Linked DNA regions of Rattus norvegicus. Each later gene encodes a partner of the first gene's protein in a complex. Links are inferred from orthologs where the notes say so. Each region holds a gene or a part of one and is shown on either strand. Other genes may lie near its edges.

The links. Proteins that work in one complex are often made in the same cells at the same time.
Region 2: Synrg (region 1) and Aftph share a complex: the UniProt entries of both Homo sapiens proteins name them as parts of the aftiphilin/p200/gamma-synergin complex. The link is inferred for Rattus norvegicus from reciprocal best matches to the Homo sapiens genes SYNRG and AFTPH.

The regions. Positions count from the first base shown.
Region 1 is NC_086028.1:69,374,533-69,378,186, forward strand, and holds part of Synrg (synergin gamma), read left to right. Parts: coding exon 1-37; intron 38-895; coding exon 896-1,144; intron 1,145-3,654. UniProt on the Homo sapiens protein: Plays a role in endocytosis and/or membrane trafficking at the trans-Golgi network (TGN). May act by linking the adapter protein complex AP-1 to other proteins. Component of clathrin-coated vesicles.
Region 2 is NC_086032.1:99,078,113-99,081,766, reverse strand, and holds part of Aftph (aftiphilin), read left to right. Parts: intron 1-2,623; coding exon 2,624-2,747; intron 2,748-3,654. UniProt on the Homo sapiens protein: Component of clathrin-coated vesicles.

The DNA of each region.
Region 1 (3,654 bases):
GCTTTACACCGTTCTCGCCATGGTAGCAGTAACACAGGTAGACTATGTGTCGGATGTCAGAACAAGTGTGTTGTTTCTATAGACTGAAAGAGTGTGAGTCCTTTTTCACCCTAGCCTTGTAGATTTCCCTGTACATTAAAATTTAGATGCTTTGTGATACAGTTTTCCAAAAATATATAATCCATATAATGCACATCCTAGCAAGTTATCCCTTTGTTTGAAAGTGAAAATAAGGGGCTGGAGAGATGGTTCAGCGGTTAAGAGCACCGTCTGCTCTTCCAGAGGTCCTGAGTTCAGTTCCCAGCAACCATGTGGTGGCTCACAACCATGTGCAGGTCCTCTTCTGGCCTTCAGGCATACATGCAGGCGGAGCTCTGTAGACATACTAAATCTTAAAGGAAAAGAAAAAGAGTTGCTGTGGGCATGGTGTCTTTTCACTGCAATAGAAAGTGAAAATAATGGATGAAATCAATTTTTGCCCATACTTAGAATTCCTTAAAGTATACTTAGGTTGGTAACAAGTTTTCTTATATTTTGAAATTAGTTTAGGTTCTTTGATTTTAGCAAATTAGTCAAACTTATCAGACAAAAAAATGTCACAGTTGATGTGTGCTGACCATGTCTAAGTATTAGCGTTGGGTGTTTTAAATGAGGAGACAGTGGATGGATAAAATAGGCCCACATTTGCTGCATGAAAGGATGGCCTTGCATAATTACATTTTTAATAGTTAGAACACTAGAGGATCCTGCTGCATTGTCCTCGATACTGTTCTCCTGCTAGCAGACAAAGAAAGAGAGACAACAGAAAAGCTTCCTGTAGCTCTCTCTTGCACAGATTTTGAGTATGGTCTGCAGCTGGCTTAAAATGTTTCCATTTTCCTGGTGTTCCCTATAGAGAGGTGTTCCTGCCATGAGCCCTGATACTTTGAACCAGTTCCCTGCGGCTCCCATTCCTACCTTAAGCGGCTTTCCTATGACTCTGCCTACCCCAGTGAGCCAGCCAACAGCGATGACCTCTGGCCCCGCAGGCTCCATACCCCTCAGCCTTGGACAGCCCATCATGGGCATTAACCTTGTTGGACCAGTGGGTGGAGCTGCAGCGCCAACTTCCAGTGGCTTCATGCCAGCCTACCCCTCAAACCAGGTAAGTGGAGAAGCTTTGTGTGTGCCAGATCATTCCAGAAAGTACATGTGGGGAGCTTTCCTTCAGAGATTCAGTCTGCTGGATTATAGCAGGCACTTGATATGGAAATTAAACAATGTGGAGACAGGTGTGATTCATCTGTGAGCTCTCACCTAGGATACTCTACTCAAGATCTACATGTAACCCCACCTCTTCAAAAAATAAGATAATTTTTAAGTATTAATATAATATAAAATTGTTTGTTTTTGTTTTCAGTTATTCTTTAAATACACAAAATGTTTGTTAAGAACTAAGCAGTTGAGGAAGATACGTAGTGTCAATCTCTGTCCTTTTACACACACACACACACAGACACACACGCATATACCACACACATACATGCACACACACACGCATATACCACACACATACATGCACACACGCACACGTATGTACCACACACATGCATGCATATATGCACATGTATGTACCACACACGTACATGCACACACATGTATGTACCACACACTTAAATGCACACACATGTATGTACCACACACATACATGCACACACACATGTATATACTACACACTTACATGCGCACACACACGTATATACTACACACTTACATGCACACACATGTATATACTACACACTTACATGCACACACACATGTATGTACCACACACTTACATGCACACACACATGTATGTACCACACACTTACATGCACACACATGTATGTGCCACACACGTACATGCACACACATGTATGCACCACACACGTACATGCACACACATGTATGTACCAAACACGTACATGCACACACACGTATGTACCACACATGTACGTGCACACACATGTATGTACCACACACGTACATGCACACACACGTGTATGTACCACACACTTACATGCACACACACGTGTATGTACCACACATGTACATGCGCACACACACACACACACGTATGTACCACACATGTACATGCACACACACAGATTTAAGACCAGACATGGTAGGTAGTCCATACCTTGATTTCAGCAGGTGGAAGTCAGAAGCAGATCTCCGAGTTTGAGGTCAGCCTGGTTTACATAGAGTTCCAAGCCGGCCAGGGCTACATGGTATATCCTGTCTCAAAAAATTCACTTCTCGGATTAGCAAACCAATATTTTTAATGTACAGATATATGATGTCATATAAGAAAAAATGACTAATCCTGTAGGTTCATTGGCACAATTATTTGAAAACCTGCACCTCAGAGATGGCAGCTGAGTTAGCAGGGTTAGGAAGTCAGCAGGGCATGGCAGGATGAGCTGTCACACAGTCACATTCCTAAAGTGCAGGGCAGTGCAACATGAGCTTGTTCCATAAAGCAAATGGTCCATGAGCAGTCTGCTGCTCTGAGTGGTGACCTGGAAGCCAGTGTTCGCTCCATGTGTGTGTACAACTGGTTATGAATGCATTGACTGTTCACAAGCTTCGTGTGTCTGTAGGACTGGTTATGGGGGCTCATGCCATGACTGTTCACATACACTGCTGTCAGCAACCAGACAAATAGAGTCCAGATACTTTAAAAATGTTAGGTTAGCTATTCAAGCCAGTCCTTTCATTACATTTGTGCCAGAGAACACTTTAAAATTTGAGACAGGTTCTTGCCTCAGGCATCTCTGTTGTTGTATCTCAGCTGCGTTCTTGCCTGGAGCTGTATGTGAGCAGTGGTAGGGCTCTAGGATGTGTCTGATATGCACCAGACCCTGTGTGCATACACTAACACACACGTGATTATGAAATTAGGCAGTTGGAATTAAATTGAGCAATTGAATGATAGTCTCTGAGGTTGATGTGTGGAGAGGAGTTATTTACTTTGGCAATCTCGTTTTCCCTGTGTAAATATCCTTTGACGGGGTGGAGTTGCCTGAAAGGCCTCAATCGAGAAGATGCTTCCATAAGATCCAGCTGTAGGGCATATTTTAAATTAGTGATTGTGGGTGGTGCTGTCCCTGGGCTGGTGGTCCTGGATTCTATAAGAAAGCAGGCTGAGCAAGCCAGTAAGCAGCACTTCTCTGTGGCCTCTGCATCAGCCCCTGCCTTCACATTCCTGCCCTAAACTTGAGTTCTTGTCCTGTCTTCCTTCTGTGATAAACAGATGTGGAAGTGTAGGCCCAATAAACCCTCTCCTCTCCAAATGACTTAGTCCAGTGTTTCATCATAGCACTAGTAAGCCTAAGACAAGTTGGTACTGGAGTACAGCAGAGCATTGCGGTGACCGACCTCATCATGTTTTGGGGGAGGATTGTAGAAGGACGTGGAAACTTTGGGCCAGAAAAGCCATTGAGTGTTGAGAGCTAAATGAACGATGATGCAGAAGCTTGGGAGATGAGAATGATGAGCGTAGTGCAGACGACGGAGGCCTGGCGTGTGAAGTTTCAGAGGGAAGCAAAGACTCTACTGGGCCTTTTGTGTGAGCAGTTTATGGTTCTGGTCGGCTGGGGCTGAAGAATCAGCTGTGATTAGCAAGAGACCAGA
Region 2 (3,654 bases), on another chromosome or scaffold:
AGTGCTGAGAAGGCCTGATAATTGGGTTCAGTGTACAGCTGCAAGGTAATCAGTCTGGGAAGTTTAAGGCTGCCATGGATGGGAGCAGTGGTCCAGGGCTCTGCCCTGGGAAACCTTTAACTCTGGGTTTGCATCAGTATGCTCTGGCTGCTGTGGAAATTTGTTTACAGTAAATTTGCCTTGGCTTTCTATTGTTACTGGGTTTCATTAAAACGTCCCCCGGCTTCAGGTACCAAGTCCTTCTTTAGTGTTCAGCTTACTACTCGTTTGTCCTTTTTTAAACTTGTTTATGGGAAAGTCATGTTTTCTTAGCTTGCTGTTAACTATCGTGTGTGTGATTTTAGGAGGTTGGCATAGAATTTGGCTGGCTACGTTAATTGTGTAATCAAGCTGTGCCTCCGTAAGGATCTGTTTAAAAAAAACTTCCATTAAAAACTCTGTAGTTTATAGTAAATAATTGCCTTGTTTCTGAAAACGTTAACTGTAATTGTCACAGATCACAGTCATTGTTGGGTTGGGGCAGTTTACAGAGGGAGGGATGTTGTGTGGGATAGAATGGTGGTTTTCTTCTGTCATTGCCAGTGCTGCTGTTCTCAGTCTCCCGTGTAGCGCTTGGCAGTCTAATACGCATACACTGTTGCCACCGCTCAGGTGCCCTTGTTCTGCATGGTACACAGATCTCACCTGCAGTGCTGTAACTAACCTTACACAGTGGGAAAGAGAAGGTTTTGGTCCATTCGCTCTTTATATAGACATCTACAATTTCATCTATTTTAACTTTGGCCTATATGCTTATTGTAGAAAAACAGAAGTTTTTAAAGGATGTCCTGAAAGTGTACATGAATGAGCTAGTAAGACCTTGGGAGTCAGCGCACACCTTCTCCCTTGTTTTGGACTCAGTACCTGGAAGCTGGTTCCTGTAATATCTGAGGCCCGTCCGCGCTCACCAGAGGATTGGTTCAGAAACGAGAGAACTCTTCATGAGTTTATTATACCTTTTGTCTAATCTCATAGGCTGTTCTTAGAAAATAAACTTGAACCAAGTACAGTCGTGCACATTTGTAGTCCCAGTTGAGGCAGGAGGATCACCTAAATCTCAGGAGGTTGAGACCAGCAGAGCAGAGCAGCATGGTAATGCCGTGTCTCAAAGAAGAAAGAAGAATTAGAAGTCGGAGAGGCTGTTAAGCCTTTTTTGTAAACTGATGCTTAACTATAGCCCCCGCTTAGCTGTCTTTCTGTTCCCCTGGCTGACTGTCCTAACTGCAGGCTTCCAGATTAAAGTCAACTACACATGTGTAACAGATCCTGTACGTCAGCAGTGCTCTGAGCCACATTCTGGAAGTATTTTACCCACGCCACCTCTTACCTAAAGAACATGCAGTCAATTTTTAGTAATAATTTGATGCTTTAAATAATTGTTCATCTCTTTAGTCATGGCTAAGATAACCAAATTACCAAATCATTTTTTATACCAGAGACTTTATATTAATCTTCAAGTCTCTGACATGGAAAAAAATACTGCAGTCTTAAAAAAAATTTTTTTATAAGATCAGAGCAAGGTTCAAAATTAGGTTCATCAGCCAGTCTAAAAATTGAGGACGTTGAGCTGGAGAGAGCGGTTAAGAGCACTGGCCTCTCCTCCAAAGGACCTGGAAGCAATTCCCAGCACCCACATAGCAGCTTCTAACCGTCTTTAATTCCCATTCCAGGGGATCCACAAGCCTTTACACAGACGTGCACGTAAAAATAAATATTTTTTTAAAACGAGAACGTTGAAGGTTGGGTGTGGTAACTCATACCTGTAATCCCGACACTCAGGGATAATTCTCCTGCCGAGGCAGGAAAATTATGAGTCGAAGCCAGCATAGGCTACAGAGCAAGACCTTGTCTTAAAATAAGATAAAATAAAAATGTTGAGAATATCATAGCACGCTCATTCTATTTATAAACCCTGTGTGTCAGAAATGAATACAAAACTGAGTGCTGGAAATTCTTGAAGTATTTGAAAGGCATCAGCTACATATAACATTTATTTCAAAACGGTATTTTTATGTATTCCTTTTATAGATACTTCAAAGCCTACCATTTAATAAAGAAAACATGAGGTTGGGTAATTGGCTCAGTGGTTAAGAGCACTGGCTGCTCTTGCAAAAGACTTGGGTTCTATTCCAAACACCTACATGGTGGTTCACAACCGTCTGTGACTCCAATTCCAGGGACTCCTACACCCCCTTCTAGCCTCCTCAGGCACTAGGCATGTATAGATATGTATACATAAATGCAGACAGACACACGTAAAATAAAAATAGACACAGAGAGCTCAGCAGGTAAAGGTGCTTGCTGCCCACGTTGGTGACCTGAGTTCAATCCCGAAACCCTGTAAGGGCGGAAGGTGAGAACTAGCTGCATGGTTATCTGCCGTCCACCCACTTGGAGCACACGTGCCCGGTGCAGAACGCTTAGCAATGACTTCTCACATGCAGAAGGGCAGCACTTGCTATGACGATGACAGTGAGTGGTGCTTATGCAGACTCACCTGGATAGAGTATTATTGCTGTCACAGCTTGCCACTTGCTATGACCCGTGAAGCTTGCCCTCACTCACTGTCATTCTGTGCTGTAAGGTGTGGATCCAGAGTTGTATGAATTAACAACTGCTAAGCTGGAGACCTCCACCTCAAGCCTCAGAGTGACTGACGCATTTGCGAAGCTCATGTCTACAGTGGAAAAGACGAGCACGTCGACCAGGTAATGAACCGCAGCTTCACCCTAACTGTTTTCTGGTTTAAATGGCCACAAGCAAAGCGCGCAAGAGGTCGTGCTTGTGTGTTAAACCGGCTTTGTACCTTAAAGCCAGTGGATGGCAAAGCTGGAAAACATCACGTGGATGTTGAACGGTGAGCTTTCTTCGGAGAGACTGACAGGTGAAGTTTTCTTCTCCCCACCCCACAGAAGATGATTCTGATTAGTATTGATGCTGATGCCTCTGGGGAACATCCCTGTCCTTTCATAATTATGGAGAAAAGCGTTTTCCAGAACCAGGCTCAGTCTTCTGGTGCCACATAAGCTCCCGTGTTCACTTTGAAGCTATGACGGAGCCCTAAGATATTTTCATCTTCAGTACATTTGCTGCTGTGCACCTGACTGAGCTGTCGCTACCAAACTTACAGAAGCCTCTAGCGACGTCATCTCCTGCCTTCAGAGCCAGAGACAGGGAATGTCTCTTGGACATTCTGCTTAGGGTTTGACACAGTTAAGTAGCCCGTGCTTTGAGCCCACATTAAGCACAGAGAAGCCAGTTCTTAGTAGAAGGCAGTTGAGACAGGACACCACTAGTGCCAGGACAGGTGCTGATTGGTAAGCTGACTTCTCTGACCCCAGTCACCGTCATCCATCTGCGCCATCAGGAGGGATGTTTATGTCACTTGCCCACTTTGGGGATTTTAGAATTTCCTGTTGAATAACAGACACCATTTAGATTTATCTTTTAAAGTTAATTCTTTCATAAGGAACATCTTTTTCTATTTTTTTAACTTAAACTTGAACAGTTGCAGTCTCTTTGGGTTGTTAAGTTTGTTTTTGAGACAGGGACTCAGTGCACAGCCCTGGCTGTCATGAAACTTGTTATATAGGCCAGGCTGGCCATGAACTTAGA